Linked DNA regions of Saccharomyces cerevisiae S288C. The gene in region 3 interacts genetically with the main gene of each other region. Each region holds a gene or a part of one and is shown on either strand. Other genes may lie near its edges.

The links.
Region 1: mutations in TAD2 (region 3) and YKR015C together harm fitness more than expected from each alone (negative genetic interaction), as found in Saccharomyces cerevisiae (one large-scale study listed by BioGRID).
Region 2: mutations in TAD2 (region 3) and BER1 together harm fitness more than expected from each alone (negative genetic interaction), as found in Saccharomyces cerevisiae (one large-scale study listed by BioGRID).
Region 4: mutations in TAD2 (region 3) and GDH1 together harm fitness more than expected from each alone (negative genetic interaction), as found in Saccharomyces cerevisiae (one large-scale study listed by BioGRID).

The regions. Positions count from the first base shown.
Region 1 is NC_001143.9:463,617-470,627, forward strand, and holds YKR015C (uncharacterized protein), read right to left. Parts: upstream 5,052-7,011; coding exon 3,345-5,051; downstream 1-3,344. Other genes in the region: PRY2 (sterol-binding protein), read left to right, coding at 343-1,332; Rab family GTPase YPT52, read right to left, coding at 1,751-2,455; MIC60 (Mic60p), read left to right, coding at 6,101-7,011.
Region 2 is NC_001144.5:944,866-950,767, forward strand, and holds BER1 (Ber1p), read left to right. Parts: upstream 1-3,502; coding exon 3,503-4,327; downstream 4,328-5,902. Other genes in the region: high-affinity Cu transporter CTR3, read left to right, coding at 2,388-3,113; YLR412C-A (uncharacterized protein), read right to left, coding at 5,402-5,608.
Region 3 is NC_001142.9:376,905-382,685, forward strand, and holds TAD2 (tRNA(adenine34) deaminase), read right to left. Parts: upstream 4,098-5,781; coding exon 3,345-4,097; downstream 1-3,344. Other genes in the region: IRC18 (Irc18p), read left to right, coding at 1-432; SNX4 (Snx4p), read left to right, coding at 1,921-3,192; Hsp70 family ATPase KAR2, read left to right, coding at 4,423-5,781. UniProt on the Saccharomyces cerevisiae protein: Structural subunit of tRNA-specific adenosine deaminase, which deaminates adenosine-34 (the first, also called wobble position of the anticodon) to inosine in many tRNAs.
Region 4 is NC_001147.6:1,040,148-1,044,564, reverse strand, and holds GDH1 (glutamate dehydrogenase (NADP(+)) GDH1), read left to right. Parts: upstream 1-1,522; coding exon 1,523-2,887; downstream 2,888-4,417. Other genes in the region: YOR376W (uncharacterized protein), read right to left, coding at 1,006-1,374; aldehyde dehydrogenase (NADP(+)) ALD4, read right to left, coding at 3,166-4,417. UniProt on the Saccharomyces cerevisiae protein: Catalyzes the incorporation of an ammonium ion into alpha-ketoglutarate to form L-glutamate, the major route of assimilation of ammonia into an organic form in yeast.

The DNA.
Region 1 (7,011 bases), on a different chromosome or scaffold from region 3:
CGAGCCGGCCTCGTGAAAAGGTGTAAAAAAAGAAAACGCATCACTGAAATGGACCCCGTTATGAAACGAATGAGAGATCTGCCCATAGATCATCTTTCCTATAGCGGGAATAAACATGTGTGCTATTTACAGTACATTTCGTGTATCTCACGCACTTCTCTATATGTAATGTTTTTGAAACATAGACGTCGTTCAAAGGCAATGCTTTTGATCTTTGTATATATATATGCTTGTCGCAGAGTGTTACATATTGCTGTGATGGATCTGTTGGCTCTTGGTATCATCGTTCCTCGAAACAGCCCATCATAAAACAATACCATTCCTTTAATAAAACTTACAAAGATGAAATTTTCTAAAGTCTCACTACTGGCCGCATCTGCATCTGTCGCTTTATCTGCCCCAGTTGCTGTGACTGTCACGCAACATGTCCACCAAGCTGCCACTGTAGTGGTACAAGGTATAGTTCGTGTAGAAAATGGCCAGACTCTAACGACGTTCATTACCAAGGGCACTCAAACGGCTTCTGCTAGTCCCGTTGCCACAACATCAGCTCCTATTGTGGTTGCTAATGCTCAAGTGGACAGCATAGCTACTTCCGTTATCCAAGAAAGCGCTGTCGTGGCTGAATCTGCAACATTTGAAGAATCCTCTACAGAAACATCTGAAGCATTTTCTACAGCAACTGCAACCATACAAGCGGTGCAAACCTCCGCAAGTGCCACACAGGATGATGTAACCACAACTTTAACATCTTCAACACAACCTACCAGCACAACTACTCCAACAACCACTACCACTAGCCCAACCACTACCACTAGCCCAACTACTACCGCTAGTCCAACTACTACTGCTAGCCCAACCACCGCTACCACCACTCAATCTACCGCCTCAAGCACTCAATCCTCAAGCTCCGATTTCTCAACGTCAATGGTTAACGAACACAACACTAAAAGGGCGTTGCACAAGGATACCGGTTCTTTGACATGGTCTGACACACTAGCAACATATGCACAAAACTACGCTGACTCCTACGATTGTTCAGGCAACCTAGTCCACTCCGGCGGTCCATACGGTGAAAACTTGGCACTTGGTTACGGTACGACCGGCTCTGTTGATGCCTGGTATAACGAAATTACCAGCTACGACTATTCCAACCCTGGTTTTAGTGAAAGCGCAGGTCACTTCACCCAAGTCGTATGGAAGGGAACTTCTGAAGTTGGTTGCGGTTTGAAATCTTGCGGTGGCGAATGGGGCGATTACATCATTTGTTCCTACAAAGCCGCTGGTAATGTCATTGGTGAGTTTGCTGACAACGTTATGCCATTAGCTTAATCACTGAATTTAGCGAATACATGGGTATGGACATGAACAGCAATGGGCACTGTTCCTTCTCTTACATTTCTCTTTTATAGTTTCAATTTTTATTATACACTAAGGATTCTTCTTTTCTAGGGTACGCAAATTAAATGCAAGCAAGATCATATAACATTGTCATAGTCTCATGCATGGTAAATAGGGTGAACGAAAAAAATTGGGAGATCTTGCCGACGGCTACGTATATATATATATATATATAAATATATATATATATATTCATGTATACTGTATATGTACAATCATATATAAAGTTACTCTTCCCTTTTCTTTTTTTTTTTACATTATTACGTATATACTGCTTTATTATCGGAAAGTAGCAGTTTAATTAAAGCAACTTCTGTTGTTTTTCCTCTAAAACACAAATCATAGGATATCAACTGCAACAAGATGTTGGATCATTTGTGGATGGCCTTTGCAAATTAATGTCTACTTGTCCGTTATTGCCTCCACCGATTTGTCTATTTTGCTTAGAGAGAATTTCGTCTTTCTTTAAATCGTATAATTTTTCACCAATATCTTGAAAAATTTCCTTAACCCCTTCACCTGTCTTAGCACTAACTTCTCGGAACAGCAACCCTTGTTCTTGTGCGTACTGTTTCGCTTCTTCAGTGCTAATTGCTCTTACTTTTTGTTCTTCATCTCCACCTTCGTTTGAATCTGGGCTTGTCTCAGTGCTAGGCGTTTCTTGACATAAATCCACTTTGTTTCCCAGTAAATAAATAACCAAGTCGTCGTCGCCTACCTTATTTTTCAGCTCATCAACCCAGTTCCTTGCCTTTTGTAGTGAATCTTCCTGCGTAATGTCATAAACAACTAATGCTGCATTAGCGTTTCTATAATACATTGGTGCCAATGACTTGTATCTTTCTTGACCAGCAGTATCCCAGATTTCAAATTTTATAACGACATCCTTTGTTTCATTACCATCGTTTGGGTGAATAGTGATTGATTGAGATAAAAAAGCAGCACCAATCGTACTTTCACGTAGTTCATCGAATGTATCCTTAACAAAACGATGAACAATGGAAGATTTACCCACGGATGAGTCACCCAATAAAACTAGTTTAAATTGCAACATCTGTTAATAATATATACGTTTACTCCAAATAAGTTAAACCTTCTTCCTACCCTCGCACTATAAAAAAAAATTTAGATATGTCCAGAGCTCGATATCGAAGCGACTTAACAAATAATTAATACTGACAGTTGGTAAACGGGCCTGTTCCCTTCACTCCCGTATGTTAACATTGTAACTTCATATCGCAGGGGCAGAGCTTTATAAACCTGAATTGTCCGGCCAGAATAGTAGTCGCTGTCCACGAAAGCAAGACACTATGAAGTTGCCGTTTGGTCTCAATGATACACATAGTGTTAAGAACATTGAGTAATTTGGAGTCAGATTGATTTCATTCCTTTACAATCGTGATGTGCCTATTTAATTCAAGGTCATGTGGATTTCAAAATTTAACATAATGATTTTACCTACCTTTCACACATTTGAACATGGGAACGCTTAAATATTAATTACTGTGCTTCACTACAATTACAAGAGAGTACGTATTGACGTTATTACCAGTTTACTTTCCATCATACTTATCGCAGAAAACAAAATATCTAAAAAAAGTATAGTAAACGGTTGATGTCATCAAGAAGCATACCTTACTCCTTATATAGAAAGCTAAGAGACACCTAGAAACATTGATTTGCCAAAAATCCACATTCCTCGAAATGGGGCCTAAAATGTGCGCTAATGCGCTAATAAAGGTGATATAAAGTTCAAATCTTGAGTATACATATGACATACAACCATAAGGCCTGATTATTGTCTATTTACTGCAATTTTCATCTTCAGTTCCAATCCACGGTATAATGAAATGTAATGCATCCTATCTTATTTTTGAATGTATTATGTTAATCGTCACGTTTTGGTAATGATTTCTAGATGCGACTATAGCATTTTTGGCAAATCAAGCGTTTATTTTGACTTTTCTAAATTTGGCTTTAAAATCCCTAAATTTCACAGTTACGACATCCTTAAAGTGGATATCTGTTAAAATAGTTGACCCAAGTACTTCACTCTCCCCAGGCATTTTGTTGATGTTGTTACTGCTCGCATTGTATTTCATTATACATTTTCTCTTGTCCTTTGTTCGCTGATTCCTTTCTCCATGAGGTGATATGTTGAGTTTAATCTTAAGGTATTCTCTCACTAGACCGTGCGCTTCCTCTTTATGGCAATTTTTGCATGATTTACTATTTTTATTATTACTATTATCATTTTTACTGGCGGAAGATGCTATTTTGGTCCTAGGTCTAACTACCTGATTTTTTGTATGTCTCTCCGAGTGCTTACCAGGTTCTTCGACCTGATTTTCGTCCATAACCATCTGATCTTTACAATATTTTTTCTCAAATGTCTGAGCCTTCTCCAATCCTAGCATTTGTTGCTCCTTTCTCCAAACTCTAGCACATCTTTCACTCATGTAAATTGGATCAATATCTTTCATAGTGGTATTCCAAGATATGTTGTTTTGGTCATTATCTTGGGGTTCAGGTTGAAAGTACGCGTTTTCCATCGGTGTTCCTGCATTATCTTCACTTTCGCTTCTAGACTTTTGAGCTATTCCGTCGTTCGCAATTTTAGGTCTGTCGTTATTTTTCTCTTCATTGTCATCCTTTACTTTATCCACTTCTGTTACATAGCCTATTACCACAGCAGCGCAGTTATTAAAAGTATTGACAACCCTATTAGCGAGAGGTGTTTTTATGATATTTTTCAATCCTGATGACGCTTCAACTTCAATACTATCCATTTTTTTTCTCTCTATCATAATGTTCTCCTGTTCCTCACCTTGCATCCTCACCTTGGCTTCTTCTTCTCTCCGTTTTTTCCTTTCCTCGTGTTCCTTGTAAGGTCTCATGTCAACATAGAATTTTTCTGGTTCTAAAGTCCAAATAAGATTAGGAAGGTCTTTATCTTTAAGCTCTTTGATACTCAAGTTTTTTTTGTTCAAGTTCTGCGGATCACACGCTGCTGTAGCGTTGAATCTGTAAACTCTGACGTTGGAAATTTTGGTAAGTTGGGAAAAATTTGAGATAGTAGTGATTTTATTGCTTTTCATTAATGGTTGTGGAATGTAAATATCACCGAGGTATTTCTTCTTTTTATATCGTCTTTCGACAAAACCTTCTGAATAAACAACCTTGTGAAGGATGCTCCAATCATCTTCCTTTACCGGGGCCATATCAAGAATCACCTTTTTTACCTTTTCAACTATATAATATTGATGATAATAGGTCCATTGTTTATGAATAAATATAAAGGCCCTGTTCAATGGATGCAACGGATCCAGTTCATCTAGGCAATCCTCTACCGGACAATCGAATTCCACAACTAAAACAGCAGGGCTACGCCTGACTAAGGGCCCAATTTCCATAATCTGTCTTAAAGAAATAACCATAGTATAAAATCTGTGAATCATATTTTTAGATTCTCTGAAATCTTCCACATTCAAGTTCTCGAATATCATAAATTCCCTCCCCAGATCCTTAAGCATTTGAAGCCGATCTTTCAAACTTCGACAGCCTTCAAATTGTTGCAATAGAAGAACATACTTTCCAAAGGAAGAGTTGATTTCAGTAAGAGCCTCATATCCAGAATAGTCCAGAAACATAGCTAAAAAAAAATCTCGTCAATTTTTTTTTTAACTATTCGAGACCTTACCGAGTAATCACTTTAAAACAAAAAATAAATAAATTTATGGACTATTTTCAGTGACTGATATGCCAAATTCCTTTGCCCTGTATGGCCATATTTTCTTACCATTTCTGTGGTGACAAAGGTGATGCAATTACTGACACAACAAGGTAAAAAAGAGAGGCGGGTAACAAATTACACACGTCCATCATCCGCTAAGCGCTTTAAGCTTATAGAGAGGCAAGTAACGTCATTGATCCTGGATGACAAACGTCTTTTACTCTTTTTTTGGGTCCTTCTCATGGTTTCAGTGTCTGACGAAAACAAAGAAATATCATACATTTCAATAGAGATCGAAATACATATCCGCACAGCATCCAATATAACCAATACATTTCTTTTTATCAACTACTTGATATGATTCCGTTTACTATAAGGCCAGGCAAATCAAAATACGCTCAAGATCTCTTATCAGTTTCCGGAGGTAATTTTCTTGCATTTCCATCTTCACGCAATCGTCCGGGCACATAATACAATATATGCTATACATCAAACACGGAGCGTGGAACATGTTCCAGCTCAAAAACAGTTAGCAAGTCTATTTTCGTACGTTCCGTAACCATTCTTATGACAATAGCATACAACAAAGTTTTCATAATATTTTGTAAGATTCATATACTTCTTACAGAAAAAAGAGAAATAAATATTGCAAAAAACTAACAACAGAAGAAACTACTTGCAAAATAGTGATTCATCAAATGGCTTCTTATAGTACGTAGTCGGCAAAGAACCAATGCATCATAGCAGTGGACAAGCAGAATTGAATCACTTTAGACGTGTAGCAGACTCATTGAACCAATAAAATTCTAAGACGGATTTCTGTGCGGAATCGGAATTAAGGGTTGTCAAAAAAGTGAAAAATAATCTGAAATTAAAAACTGTTCTTATTCTCGAGGAAGCTATTCACAGTAAAGGAACACAAAAGGCATAAGAACGCATTGAAAAGTCTAAAAAACTAATATTCGTATGATGCTAAGAACTACTGCCTCACGAAAAATTGTGCTAAGGAGGGGTCTAGCCAGCATAAACACAGGGACTACCGTTGCATCAAAAAAGGCTTCGCACAAATTTCGCAATACCCTTTGGACTATTGCTTTGTCAGCGACAGCTTTCTACGCTGGAGGTATCATATATTCGCAAAAAAATGACAAATTTGGTGACTTTTTCTCTAATAACGTTCCTTTTGCCGAGGATTTACTAGAAACATATGAACACTATCACGATAGGCCAACATTGTTTTTAGAAGATTCTTGGGACGGCTTGAAGGCAAAGAGCAATGATTTATTATCTGGATTAACTGGTAGTTCACAAACGCGCAGATCTAATAGGGAAAATATTGAAGTAAAAAAAATCTTATCATTAGAACCACTAAATATTGAAACAGAAAATTCTGATCCGCAACTGAAAGAAATCATTGGCTCTTTGAATGATCTCATCAACAGTCTAAATGACTCAAACCTCTCCATCCCCGAATCAGAATTCAATTCAATCAAAAAATCTAACCAGAATATGCTTACGAATCTATCCCAATTAAATGAAACGTTAAAAGAGGCTTTATCCAATTACATGATACAAAGAACATCAGAAGTAATCACGGAATTGAACACACAATATGAAAACTCGAAAAGGGAGTTTGAAAAGAATCTTCAAAAAAACCTATTACAAGAAGTAGACGAATTCAAAGAAAACTTGACCAAGCAAAAGGACAAAGAACTAGAAGAAAAATTAAAGGCGAACGAAGAATTGTTACAAGCCAAACATGCAAATGAAGTGGGCTTACTATCCATCACTCAAGTCAAAGAATTTAATAAAATTATCAAAGACAAAATTGAGAAGGAAAGAAATGGCAGATTAGCCCATTTAGAGGAAATAAATTC
Region 2 (5,902 bases), on a different chromosome or scaffold from region 3:
TAATGCCTGACAAATCCTCAAAAAATGTTACGGCTGATTCTATTCTTGACGACCTCCCACTTCCTGACTTAACCCATAAATCTCCTACGGACACTTCTGATGTTTCAAAAGATATTCCACACATACACTCTCGTCAGACTAATTCCAGTTTGGGTGGTATGGATGATTCTAATGTTCTGACTACTACCAAAAGTAAGAAAAGATCATTAGAAGATAATGAAACTGAAATTGAGGTATCCCGAGACACATGGAATAATAAGAATATGAGAAGTCTGGAACCACCAAGATCGAAGAAACGCATAAATTTAATTGCAGCAATAAAAGGAGTGAAATCGATCAAACCAGTTCGAACGACCTTAAGATATGATGAAGCAATTACATATAATAAAGACAACAAAGAAAAAGACAGATATGTTGAAGCTTATCATAAAGAAATTAGCCAACTATTGAAAATGAACACTTGGGATACAAACAAATATTATGATAGAAATGACATAGATCCTAAAAAAGTAATAAACTCAATGTTTATATTTAACAAGAAACGTGATGGTACACACAAAGCTAGATTTGTTGCAAGAGGCGACATTCAACACCCCGATACATATGATTCTGATATGCAATCCAATACCGTACATCACTATGCACTGATGACGTCACTGTCAATCGCATTAGACAACGACTATTATATCACACAGCTGGACATATCCTCTGCTTACTTATATGCTGATATCAAAGAAGAATTATACATAAGACCTCCACCACATTTAGGTTTGAATGATAAATTACTACGTTTGAGAAAATCACTCTATGGTTTGAAACAAAGTGGTGCAAACTGGTATGAAACCATTAAATCATATTTAATAAATTGTTGCGACATGCAAGAAGTTCGCGGATGGTCATGCGTATTTAAGAATAGTCAAGTAACAATTTGCTTATTCGTTGATGATATGATATTATTCAGCAAAGACTTAAATGCAAATAAGAAAATCATAACAACACTCAAGAAACAATACGATACAAAGATAATAAATCTGGGTGAAAGAGATAACGAAATTCAGTACGACATACTTGGATTAGAGATCAAATATCAAAGAAGCAAGTACATGAAATTAGGTATGGAAAAATCCTTGACAGAAAAATTACCCAAACTAAACGTACCTTTGAACCCAAAAGGAAAGAAACTTAGAGCTCCAGGTCAACCAGGTCATTATATAGACCAGGATGAACTAGAAATAGATGAAGATGAATACAAAGAGAAGGTACATGAAATGCAAAAGTTGATTGGTCTAGCTTCATATGTTGGATATAAATTTAGATTTGACTTACTATACTACATCAACACACTTGCTCAACATATACTATTCCCCTCTAGACAAGTTTTAGACATGACATATGAGTTAATACAATTCATGTGGGACACTAGAGATAAACAATTAATATGGCACAAAAACAAACCTACCAAGCCAGATAATAAACTAGTCGCAATAAGCGATGCTTCATATGGTAACCAACCATATTACAAGTCACAAATTGGTAACATTTTCCTACTCAACGGAAAAGTGATTGGAGGAAAGTCGACAAAGGCTTCGTTAACATGCACTTCAACTACAGAAGCAGAAATACACGCAGTCAGTGAAGCTATACCGCTATTGAATAACCTCAGTCACCTTGTGCAAGAACTTAACAAGAAACCAATTATTAAAGGCTTACTTACTGATAGTAGATCAACGATCAGTATAATTAAGTCTACAAATGAAGAGAAATTTAGAAACAGATTTTTTGGCACAAAGGCAATGAGACTTAGAGATGAAGTATCAGGTAATAATTTATACGTATACTACATCGAGACCAAGAAGAACATTGCTGATGTGATGACAAAACCTCTTCCGATAAAAACATTTAAACTATTAACAAACAAATGGATTCATTAGATCTATTACATTATGGGTGGTATGTTGGAATAAAAATCAACTATCATCTACTAACTAGTATTTACGTTACTAGTATATTATCATATACGGTGTTAGAAGATGACGCAAATGATGAGAAATAGTCATCTAAATTAGTGGAAGCTGAAACGCAAGGATTGATAATGTAATAGGATCAATGAATATTAACATATAAAATGATGATAATAATATTTATAGAATTGTGTAGAATTGCAGATTCCCTTTTATGGATTCCTAAATCCTCGAGGAGAACTTCTAGTATATCTACATACCTAATATTATTGCCTTATTAAAAATGGAATCCCAACAATTACATCAAAATCCACATTCTCTTCACTTCTCCGATAGACTTGTAATTTATCTTATTTCATTTCCTAACACTTTGATCGAAGAAGAGGGATAACAACAGACGAAAACACATTTAAGGGCTATACAAAGATGAATATGGGAGGCAGTAGCAGCACTGCTGCCAAAAAAGCGACTTGTAAAATATCGATGTTATGGAATTGGTATACCATTGACACCTGCTTCATTGCCAGATCTTGGAGAAATGACACCAAAGGAAAATTTGCTGGTTCTTGCATCGGCTGTTTTGCGCTTGTGGTGGTAGCTCAATGGCTTACTCGTTTTTCAAGGCAATTTGACGTAGAGCTATTAAAAAGACAGAAAATAAAGCATTTAGCTAGTTACTCGCCAGAGGAGTACGTTGTCAAATGTGGAGAAGAGGATGCTAAATCTGATATAGAAGAACTACAAGGCTTTTACAACGAACCAAGCTGGAAAACAACTTTAATTTCCTTACAAAAAAGTTTCATTTATAGTTTTTACGTTTGGGGTCCAAGGAGATTGAACGAGCCAGAAGACGACCTGTTAAAGAAGGTCCTATCATGCTGTACATTAATAACGCCAGTGGATTTGTACCCAACTTTTTTGGATCACATGATAAGAGTTACTATTTTCGTATTACAGTGGGGGTTATCTTATATCATCATGCTGCTGTTCATGTACTATAACGGCTATATCATTATTAGTTGTTTAATAGGTGCTATCGTTGGTCGTTTCATATTTTGCTATGAACCTCTAGGCTCATTGGGTGCTAATGGATCAGCCCAGGGTACAGTGAGTTATGATAAAGAGAGTGATGATCGCAAATGCTGCTTGTAGAAAGACAAAAATGAATAGAGGAAAGCCGAGAGGTTTGTTTCAAAAATTGACGCCTTCCTCATTTTTTTCATAATTAGCTGGTAAAAGTTACTATTTGTAACGACTGCTAAATAACAAATAATTATTCGTGTAAAAATAAATAGCTAATACCACCAGGTGTTCATATTCCATGACTGCATATTTGGGAAACGAGACGGTTTGAACATCCTTAGTTGATGTAAAACTATAATAAAAGCTCTATGGGAAGTAAACTATCTGCGGGTCGGGTAAGGAATGATGCTTGCTCGACGTGTAGCGATGAAAAAAGTGAAAACTTATTTGAACTCTAGAAAACTGCTAAGATCCTGAACTGATACCGAAGTTAATGACCTTGACCGGTCTTCTGCTGTATGGATTTTAAAGCAAGTGGGACAAAGTTTAAGAAAACTGGCAAGAAGGTAGTGCCTGCTAAAGCGTTTGAAGAAATTGTTCAGACAAATAGAGATGTTCTGAAAAAATCAGCATTCCTCTCAGATTTACTTGAAAATTTACAACCGCACCTCAATAACATTAAGAAAATACGATGTGTTGCAATTGGAAATTTCAAGGAGGATTTTCCTGCGACGTACCAATTCGCTCTTCTCCTAGAGATTACTGATTATATAAAAAGTGAGGATGAAAGGGATGTCGTTGTTTCCCTGTATGATCCAATATTTACTAAAGAAGAGATACAGTACTTGAAAAGTTTAGGAAGCAAATGGCTGATAGAGGAAGAATTTTCAGAGAACGATGCAATTGATTATGAATCGGTATTATATTTCCTTCCCCATGCTCCTTTGGATTTAACTGAGAACATACTATCGTCACAGCGACCACACTTATGGCTGGCAAATAATATGATATCACACACCGATAGATACACCAAAGCAAAACTTTGTGAAAACTATCCTAATTTAAGCAAGCTAGTTCATTACTTGCAGACTAACGCTCCGCCAGAAGTTAAAAAAGCACATGATGTAGATGGTTTTGCAACATTCATTCCAAAGAGAAAAAGAAAAAACAGAAACAACTCCTCTAAACTCAAGGTCACACCATCTGATATAGACTATGATTCAATAGCACCGAAGTTTAAGTCCTGCCAAATACTCACCGATTTTGATGAAGGAAAGTATTTGAAGGAAAAACCCTGGATCAATTCCTTCTCTGACTTGACGTTACATGCTATAGAGTACTAACATATCATTCACTACATAGTACTTTATAACTAAACTGTAACCTTTCAGGGCATCGTAACCTGACGCTTTACCATCAATAACGACACGAGACCGCTTTATCTATGATACTGGAACAATCAACATGATTGTTATAAATGTACTCGACAGGATCATGAAAGGATACCAACTTAGTTGCCGGTTCATTGAAATGGAAAGCTCAAGAACGTATACTGAAAGAGAGCGACGTCTACTTTGCCCACAAAAATCTACTCTCTGAATTGAATAGTATTTAGAGATTGCATAATTCAAGCCCTCCTCGAGGAAAGGATATAAATGAAAATACCGTTTTTCCTGCTGATGGTTATCGTCCCTGTCAAGGATACTTCTCGGACTCGAACAACGTTACAGCTCAACTTAAAGAAGGCTAAATACGACAAGGGCGCTTGCCCTAAGAGGAACTGTTTCTAAGTTCTAACGAGTGCCTGCGAAGATCGGTTTTTTTTAACTTCGCGGGCGAATTGATAAATAAAGTTCTTCTTGCAATTTTTTAAGATCAAGGTTGGGGCAAAAAGGACGCAAACGAATGGTTGGGTTAAGAAAGTGGAAAGACCCAAACCTGAAGTTCATTTAGTTCTTGGCGGAATGAATCATTCGAACGGCGCAATACGCTCGTCAAAGAAGGAGGTATGATTTATGACGGTTTGTGGGTAGCCCTCTAAACACGTGGAGAGTAACCTTTTCTGTTTAGCGATCCTAGAACTGCGAACAATGGTAGCTATTCGCTTACTCAACAATATTGTTCTTGATTAATGCATTCAAATATGTAACTTCGTCCCTCATATAAGCGTCTGACGCGTCGTGAAAATTTACCCTCTCAAGAAAATACAAGAGATTACGTAAAATTAGAAACCAAAAGATATGAGTGGAACAGACACATATCACCCATATTTCCTTTTCACGTAAGAAAACTTAAGTACTAGTGCGGTGCCTGCGTTAGTGCTTGTCTTTAGGTCAAACAGGTCATCTTGACCAACTTAGCTTATAATAAGAATGATAATCGATTACTCTAAATAGCATTCTTTCATTTGCGGCATCTTATAACCCACACACCGCATTTAGGACCCGTTTTTTTTCTTTTTTTTTTTGTTGAAAAAATTCAACAGTTCCTATTTTTTTCTTTTCATTCTTTTTTTTTGCCTTGCCTTCGTTTCGAGAATTCTTTTTCTTTTTCTTTAGGTAAGGGACCTTCTCAGCTGAGGCACGGTGGGGTTTGTAATAGTGTCCATTCTGGCACAAATGCATAAGTGATGCTAAAATAGTGATACGTCTAAACAAAACGGTTTGGATGCCTAGCAAATAGTAAAAAGACTTGAATATATCACTTTTATCACTATGTAAAAAAACTGAGTTATATTATTAAGTTTTTTTTGAAATGTTCCCGTTTGACGTGTATTTAGTACAGTATGTTCCGTGGATACTGTTTAGGTGCATTTAAGCGCTCCAGAACTCTCCTTTAAATTCCTGCAGCACTCCGTCAGTTGCTTCGTAAATCCGCCTGGATACCGCCTTGAAGATTAAAGTTCCCCTCAGTACTCG
Region 3 (5,781 bases):
TTAAATGGTATATTGAATAACAAGGTGAATATGCTAACAAGGGAAATCCAAATGGAAACTGTTGGCAATAACACATTTGAAACAGAAACAGGGAAGCTAACTAAGGGCCTAAACCGAGCAGTAAATATATCTCCGTTCAAGTACATAAAAAAATTCAAGACCGTTTCAACAAAGAAATTTGAAAGCCTCTTGAATAAGTATGATCTGGTTGCCAAGAAGGGCGGGGAATTGACAGAGGAACAAAAGAAAAAGAAGGAGGTGCTCTCACGGATCAGTAGAGTAGTCGCTGCAACAACGATAGAGGCTGGTCTGGCACAAGGTGTGGTTGATTTATGTATAACAGTGACAACTAGTCTATGCTTAGTCTCGGCCAGCATTGGAGGCGTCGGATTTCTTATTTGGCTCACCATTATATACCAAGCTCTGACTTAGGAAAATGTTGCCGATTTTGTTTTTGCCACTCCTGTACATTGTTTAATCTCAGATCGTTGTATATATATACATATATATAGTGTTTTAACGACATTCTTATATTTGCATTTCTGCTTCTTATTACACCTAACTATTCTGTAACTGCCATGGGTAAGCATTTTTGAAGTATTAATTAACAATTAAACTTTCAAACATACCCACCCTTTCGTTGGAATAAAAATCAATTAACACCCACTGACTAGTAAATATTACTAGAATAACTGATGATTATGCCAATTTTCTGACAGTTGTTGGGTTTCCATTGTTGACGAAGGTCCTATTATTAGATATACGGAACATACTAGATCTCTCGAGCCTATCGGAACCTACTAAGCGGAATCGGCAATATACATGTTATTCATTTTTTTCGTTTTTCGTTTTACATTATTAATTTTACGTCTCAACTTGGTTCAATTTCAGAGACAGCATCTCATCACATCTATCATCTTTTTGTACCACATAAGGTAATATACACGTAATAATAGGCAATAGATGTGTGCGAATGAACTTCCAATATAATCCATTTAGTAGTGCCTTTTGTTACTAATATTCGTCAGTTTCTCAAGCTGACACTTGATTTATTCTAAACAAATTTCAATCTTGGACAATTAGTTGACATAAACTACGTTACTAATTTTTGTTGTATTAAGGGCTTAAATAATACCGGATGTCTTGGCAATTCTATCGTTAGGAGAGTAATAGTTGTCAGACTTATTGTCGGCTTGTTCGCACATCGTTACTTATCCTATATTATACATAAGATCTGGTGAAGCGAGGAGTCCCATGTCTAAACCGATTGCTCAGGTATTTACAGGTTTAACTGCTTCATTTAAGCAAGCAATTATTGAATTATATACTCAATCTTGTCTCTCCCGTTACTATTATTTCATTCGCGTTTTATACATCTTTATTATTATAAGTTTGATACGGTAACTTTACAATCGATTAATTTCTGCTGAAAGCCCAAGCTTTCATAAATTAATAGGTTTCGTGGTCTAGTCGGTTATGGCATCTGCTTAACACGCAGAACGTCCCCAGTTCGATCCTGGGCGAAATCAATTTTTTGTTTTTTTAATTCACAAGAATAACCTGGTATTGTTATAAGCAAGCCACCCTTTGCGTACGATCAAACACCCTATAAAATCTATATGCAATACTGAGATATTGTATTTTTTCTCCTTTAATTGTTTATAGTTCAGAATAACAGTTCAAAAATCTATGCCGCGCTCACAGGGTCCTGCCGGGTATTCGCCCTCCAGCTTGAAAGGGGTGGCAATGCCCAAGAGCGATGTATAGTTTAGTATCAAGGAATTGAGAGAGGTATTACACCAAGGATTTCCGTGAACGAAGTGACGACGCAAGATTAACAGATTAAATTCTGGTAGTAGGCTAAGCCGTTATTAAACTTTATTTACGGTATACCACAATACTGCTCTTTTTGTTGAGGATATGACAGACAAAGGCAAGAACGATTTAACAAGCAAAGCTAAGGACAAAGCCAGAGGCAACCCCGAGAAGCCACCATATTGGTTTGAAATCATTGTTTCTGATCCACAAAAAAGAACTGGTGACCCAGGCTCTTCATCTGGCTACGTGAGTTATCAGATATCAACAAAGACTAACAACACGTCATTTTATGATAATCGTGGCGATCCAGAATCTATTATAGTTGTACATAGAAGATACAGTGACCTATTGCTCCTGCATGATATTTTACTCAACAGGTTCCCCACCTGCATCATCCCGCCATTACCTGATAAGAAAGTTTTTCAATACATAGCAGGCGATAGGTTTAGCCAAAGATTTACACAAAAGAGATGTCATAGTTTGCAAAATTTCCTAAGAAGGGTCTCTTTGCATCCCGATCTTTCTCAATCAAAAGTCTTCAAAACTTTTTTGGTGAGTAAAGATTGGGAATCTCACCGCAAAGTCCTCCAGGATAGCTTGCAACCAAATAAAGATGAAGTTACTGATGCTTTTATGAATGCCTTCAAAACAGTTCACAAGCAAAACGAAGAATTCACTGAGATAAGGGAGAAAAGTGATAAACTAGATCGGACTGTGACAAAGATAGATAAACTTTTTCATAAGGTTGTGAAAAAAAATGATTCGATGTCTGAAGACTATACAAAGTTGGGCAGTAATTTACAGGAATTACAAGAATTGGTCACAGGCGAAAACGAGGAACTTGCTGCGAAGTTGAAGATTTTTAATGAAGGTGTAACACAGCTGTCATATGGCTTGCAAGATCTTACAAAGTATCTGGATTACGAATATATTGTTGATTTGAAGGATCTTGAACACTACATTGATAGTATGCGACAGCTGATCAAATTGAAAGACCAGAAACAGATAGACTACGAAGAACTAAGTGATTATTTAACCAGGTCAATCAAAGAAAAAAATAACTTGATTTCTGGATACGGAGGTAGTAATTTCTTTGCCAATAAATTGGAAGAACTAGCGGGAATAAATCAGGAGGCTTCACGTAGAGAAAAAATCAATAAACTAGAAGGCAAAATAACGTCATTAACAGGTGAATTAGAAAACGCTAAAAAGGTGGCGGATGGATTCGAACAGGAATGCTTGAAGGAAATAGACCATTTCGAAAGTGTAAAAACGGCTGAAATCAAGAAATCTCTGGGCTCACTAGCGGACCATCATATCGAATTCTACGAAAGGATACTTGAAGCATGGGAAAAAGTAGACGATAGTCTATAGTGGTGCTCTTAATGTTTTCCCATTACTACTGATAATACCTTGGGCACTACGATTATCTGATCACATTTAACAGAGAAATTTAAAAAAAGAAAAATATCTATATAAAAATATGTAAATGTTGCTATTATTTTATGATGTTCTGATTTTTTTCGTCAAACCTTAGATTTCTTATGTACATTAAACTTAAACATTTTGCATTGTTCTTCCAGTTCTTGGATTATATTATCTTGGTGGGAGTCAATCAAATCCCAATCGACGCTATTACTGGACAAGTCAACTTTATTCGCAAAACAAGTCCTGTAATCATCACCAAAAGTCTCAATGAATGCTTCTTCATTAAGATACTTTGACCATTCCATAGGCGGAAACGTGTTTTTATCCAACACTCTGTCACTCTTGGACCGTGGCTTTGGCGCCCTTTCATTTTGTCTTACATAAAAGTATCTCAGCAGCATTATTGCTTCTTTCCTCAAGATCCCCGGTATACTCTCGTACCCTGCCGCACTATTGTTCTTGGGCACTAATGTACACGTATCATGATTTACTGACAAGACAGTACCGTTGCCTCCAAATCTCTCGTTGCCACAACCGAACACCACCTTTCCAATGTCTAATTGCTTGAGAGCAGATGCACACATTATACACGGTTCTACAGTAACATATAGAGTAATGTCTTTGAACACGTCAACAACTCCTCGGGAGCCCAACATCGCCTTGATCTGATCGATCCCCATGAACTCAGCATGTGCTACTCCAGTTAATGACTTGTTCGTATCGTTCATGCCATAAGCCATCACCTGGCCAGTTGGCGTATGTACAAAGATGCAAGCTACCGGTGTCTCATCGTGGTCAAGAGCGTATCTAGCCAAACGGACAGCTGTCCTCATATGTTTAATATGCTGCATAGTGTGAGTCCTCTAGTTTTTACCGCAGCCACCAGCCGCTTCTCGAGCAAAGTGTAGATCCCATTAGGACTCATCATTCATCTAATTTTGCTATGTTAGCTGCAACTTTCTATTTTAATAGAACCTTCTGGAAATTTCACCCGGCGCGGCACCCGAGGAACTGGACAGCGTGTCGAAAAAGTTGCTTTTTTATATAAAGGACACGAAAAGGGTTCTCTGGAAGATATAAATATGGCTATGTAATTCTAAAGATTAACGTGTTACTGTTTTACTTTTTTAAAGTCCCCAAGAGTAGTCTCAAGGGAAAAAGCGTATCAAACATACCATGTTTTTCAACAGACTAAGCGCTGGCAAGCTGCTGGTACCACTCTCCGTGGTCCTGTACGCCCTTTTCGTGGTAATATTACCTTTACAGAATTCTTTCCACTCCTCCAATGTTTTAGTTAGAGGTGCCGATGATGTAGAAAACTACGGAACTGTTATCGGTATTGACTTAGGTACTACTTATTCCTGTGTTGCTGTGATGAAAAATGGTAAGACTGAAATTCTTGCTAATGAGCAAGGTAACAGAATCACCCCATCTTACGTGGCATTCACCGATGATGAAAGATTGATTGGTGATGCTGCAAAGAACCAAGTTGCTGCCAATCCTCAAAACACCATCTTCGACATTAAGAGATTGATCGGTTTGAAATATAACGACAGATCTGTTCAGAAGGATATCAAGCACTTGCCATTTAATGTGGTTAATAAAGATGGGAAGCCCGCTGTAGAAGTAAGTGTCAAAGGAGAAAAGAAGGTTTTTACTCCAGAAGAAATTTCTGGTATGATCTTGGGTAAGATGAAACAAATTGCCGAAGATTATTTAGGCACTAAGGTTACCCATGCTGTCGTTACTGTTCCTGCTTATTTCAATGACGCGCAAAGACAAGCCACCAAGGATGCTGGTACCATCGCTGGTTTGAACGTTTTGAGAATTGTTAATGAACCAACCGCAGCCGCCATTGCCTACGGTTTGGATAAATCTGATAAGGAACATCAAATTATTGTTTATGATTTGGGTGGTGGTACTTTCGATGTCTCTCTATTGTCTATTGAAAACGGTGTTTTCGAAGTCCAAGCCACTTCTGGTGATACTCATTTAGGTGGTGAAGATTTTGACTATAAGATCGTTCGTCAATTGATAAAAGCTTTCAAGAAGAAGCATGGTATTGATGTGTCTGACAACAACAAGGCCCTAGCTAAATTGAAGAGAGAAGCTGAAAAGGCTAAACGTGCCTTGTCCAGCCAAATGTCCACCCGTATTGAAATTGACTCCTTCGTTGATGGTATCGACTTAAGTGAAACCTTGACCAGAGCTAAGTTTGAGGAATTAAACCTAGATCTATTCAAGAAGACCTTGAAGCCTGTCGAGAAGGTTTTGCAAGATTCTGGTTTGGAAAAGAAGGATGTTGATGATATCGTTTTGGTTGGTGGTTCTACTAGAATTCCAAAGGTCCAACAATTGTTAGAATCATACTTTGATGGTAAGAAGGCCTCCAAGGGTATTAACCCAGATGAAGCTGTTGCATACGGTGCAGCCGTTCAAGCTGGTGTCTTATCCGGTGAAGAAGGTGTCGAAGATATTGTTTTATTGGATGTCAACGCTTTGACTCTTGGTATTGAAACCACTGGTGGTGTCATG
Region 4 (4,417 bases), on a different chromosome or scaffold from region 3:
GCATACACAGCGTATTTTCTTTGAGTATTTAATAGGTAAGCTAAGTTTCGTAGCTCGTTAGTAATATTACTCTATGGATTCTGTGCCACTTCTTCAAACAGGGCGCGAAAACCTTGAAGAAGCAGCGCACTTGATGCCCCTAGTGAGAGTCACGTGACGGTTATCCCATTTAAGGTATTCCTGTTGCGACCCCTCTCACACAGATATATCTTGCGGCTAGAGATAGGTTGTGATTAGGAATAGATCTGTAGATGTCTAGAGGAACGGCTAATGATTGGAAACGTCCGAGGAACATGAAGAAAGACGTAAAGTGGTAGCAATTCCGCGCTTGTAACTTGCGTGGCATGACCAGAAAGCCCACTTCTCTATCTGATTGGAAACCAAGTTTCTTCGGAACAATCTCTGCTTCAAGAACCTGCAATTTCGAAAATTTTTACCAAGCCGTCGGCTCCAATCGCGTAAGTGCAAGAAACTTTGCGTAAGCTGATCTTAGATCAGCACTCAAAGCCTTCATATTCTACCAAGAATGACAGCTTCCCAAGTTATTCTGTAAAGTGTAATCTCGCATACAGTAGTTCAGCGACAGAAGCTTCGAAAACTTCTCTTAATGATGGACTCTTCGACAGTAACAAACTAGCACACCGAAGCTCCCGACAAGAAGGAGATGAACTTCTTTAGGTTCAAGTCCGCTAAACTCTACAGTGATTCTGTCCAGCATTGGCTTTTTTTCTTGAATTATTCTAGCGGGCTGTGGCCAGTATACCAACCGAGCCAAACCATATTAGTAACTCCATTCAGTATAAAGTGGCACTGCTTCATGGGGCTGCGATAAAGAGTCCTAGAAGACCATGCGTTCGAGTCGATCTGGGCACCACTCCGCATCTGGGCATAACCTGAATTATACAACAATAACGTGGGGGAGGGCATCGTTTACGATTGGCTGGATAAGAGGATTTCATAAGGAATATGATGCTACATCCACTCAGGTCATTATTCTCTAGTGTATCAGGCTCCCCTTATGCAGGTTCCATGACTCCATGGAAACGGGCCTGATCTTAATAACCTTATCTGACCATCTGATTGGATGGCCTCGATATTCTTATCGCAGAACCAATGCGCCGGAACCGGCCCATGCATTTTCAGTGCGGTGGGGCAATAAAAAAGAAATAGTACGACCCCACGTCCAATCAGCAGAGAGAAGCTGTTATCAGCTGCTGCGCCGTTTTCTTTTTCATCAGGTACCATAATGAAAATCAGCACTGAAAAATTGCGGAAGAAGAAAGCGTAAGAAGTAGCAGCAAAGGCCGGCTTCTTGTTAAAGCAAAGTATACGTAATCTAAGTAAGAGAAGATTGGAAAATTTTCTGTTTTTCATATATAAAATATACGAGAGTTACAAATGCGTTTACCCATTTTATATTCTCTCACTCTTTAAATGACTTTTCTTATAGCATTGAAAGTTGCTTGATACGTACTATCGCATTATTCTAATATAACAGTTAGGAGACCAAAAAGAAAAAGAAATGTCAGAGCCAGAATTTCAACAAGCTTACGAAGAAGTTGTCTCCTCTTTGGAAGACTCTACTCTTTTCGAACAACACCCAGAATACAGAAAGGTTTTGCCAATTGTTTCTGTTCCAGAAAGAATCATACAATTCAGAGTCACCTGGGAAAATGACAAGGGTGAACAAGAAGTTGCTCAAGGTTACAGAGTGCAATATAACTCCGCCAAGGGTCCATACAAGGGTGGTCTACGTTTCCATCCTTCCGTGAACTTGTCTATCTTGAAATTCTTGGGTTTCGAACAAATCTTCAAGAACTCCTTGACCGGCCTAGACATGGGTGGTGGTAAAGGTGGTCTATGTGTGGACTTGAAGGGAAGATCTAATAACGAAATCAGAAGAATCTGTTATGCTTTCATGAGAGAATTGAGCAGACACATTGGTCAAGACACTGACGTGCCAGCTGGTGATATCGGTGTTGGTGGTCGTGAAATTGGTTACCTGTTCGGTGCTTACAGATCATACAAGAACTCCTGGGAAGGTGTCTTAACCGGTAAGGGTTTGAACTGGGGTGGTTCTTTGATCAGACCAGAAGCCACTGGTTACGGTTTAGTTTACTATACTCAAGCTATGATCGACTATGCCACAAACGGTAAGGAATCTTTCGAAGGTAAGCGCGTCACCATCTCTGGTAGTGGTAACGTTGCTCAATACGCTGCCTTGAAGGTTATTGAGCTAGGTGGTACTGTCGTTTCCCTATCTGACTCCAAGGGTTGTATCATCTCTGAAACTGGTATCACCTCCGAACAAGTCGCTGATATTTCCAGTGCTAAGGTCAACTTCAAGTCCTTGGAACAAATCGTCAACGAATACTCTACTTTCTCCGAAAACAAAGTGCAATACATTGCTGGTGCTCGTCCATGGACCCACGTCCAAAAGGTCGACATTGCTTTGCCATGTGCCACCCAAAATGAAGTCAGCGGTGAAGAAGCCAAGGCCTTGGTTGCTCAAGGTGTCAAGTTTATTGCCGAAGGTTCCAACATGGGTTCCACTCCAGAAGCTATTGCCGTCTTTGAAACTGCTCGTTCCACCGCCACTGGACCAAGCGAAGCTGTTTGGTACGGTCCACCAAAGGCTGCTAACTTGGGTGGTGTTGCTGTTTCTGGTTTAGAAATGGCACAAAACTCTCAAAGAATCACATGGACTAGCGAAAGAGTTGACCAAGAGTTGAAGAGAATTATGATCAACTGTTTCAATGAATGTATCGACTATGCCAAGAAGTACACTAAGGACGGTAAGGTCTTGCCATCTTTGGTCAAAGGTGCTAATATCGCAAGTTTCATCAAGGTCTCTGATGCTATGTTTGACCAAGGTGATGTATTTTAAATAGTCTAAAAGAAAGAAAAGAGGAAAGTTCATAAAAAGTTCTTTCTTTTTTTTAAATAACTTAGATAGATAATGAGATAAAAGAAGTAAAAAAACGGAATCGTAACGCAATTAATTAATTAAGAAAATTGATTATCGGGAGAAAAAAATTTTATTTTTTATTTTATTTTCTTTAAAGTACATATATTTGAAATGATGACATGTGGAAATATAACAGAGACAGAATATTTAATTTTATGTATGTAAGCATCGATTGGACACCAGGCTTATTGATGACCTTACTCGTCCAATTTGGCACGGACCGCTTTAACTTGCAAGTAGTTTTGTAAAGCATCAACAGACATTTCCCTGCCCAAACCAGATGCATTGAACCCACCGAAAGGAACTGCGTGGTGGAAATCGTTATAAGTGTTTATCCAGACCGTACCCGCATTAACTCTATCAGCCACTTTTAAGGCGGTATTAATATTAGAGGTGTGAATACCAGCAGCCAACCCGTATTCAGAATCGTTCGCCATGTTAATGACTTCGTCGGCAGATTTGAATTTGGTTACAGTGACAACAGGGCCAAAGATTTCCTCTTTGACAATTCTCATGTCTTCCTTAACGTCACCAAAGACAGTTGGCTTAATGAAGTAACCCTTGCTACCTAATCTTTCACCACCGGTAATCAAAGTAGCACCTTCATTCTTACCAATGTCAACGTATTTCAAGATTTTGTTTAGTTGCATTTGAGAGGTTTGTGCACCTTGGAAAGTAGATTCATCGAATGGGTCGCCCACCTTGATGGATTCAGAAGCGGCTTTGAACTCTTCAATGAATTTGTCGTAAATAGATTCTTCAACATACACCCTTGAACCCGCACAACAGACCTCACCAGAATTGTAGTAGATACCAAGGATAATGTTTTGCACGGCTTTTTTCAACTCGGCGTCCGCGAAGACAATGTTTGGTGATTTACCACCCAGCTCCAAAGTCACTTTTTTCAAGCCTGCGGCTGCGGACTGGTAAATGTGTCTACCCGTAGCCGTGGACCCTGTGAAGGCAACCTTTTTGATTTTTGGATGGTTTGTAATGGCCTCACCCACAATCTTACCAAACCCGGATACAATGTTGATCACACCAGGTGGAATACCCGCCTGTGGGATGTATTTAGACACATACAAAGCGGACAATGGGGTGGATTCGGCAGTCTTCAACACGACGGTGTTACCGGTGACCAAAGCAGGGGCAATCTTCCAGGCCCACATCAACAGTGGGAAATTCCAAGGAATAATCTGCCCACAAACACCCAAAGGCTGTCTCTTAGTGTAAGAAAAATGGGTTCTACCAGTATCAATCATTCTACCATCAATTTTATCAGCAAAGCCAGCAGAAGATTTCAAATAGTTGATGACTAAATCAACATCTCCTCTCGAGGAAGAGATAGCTTTACCGTTATCCAAAGTCTCGATGGAAGCAATGACATCCTTGTCCTGTTCAATTAATTCGGCTAACCTGTACAAAGCCTTACCCCTGTCAATAGGGTCG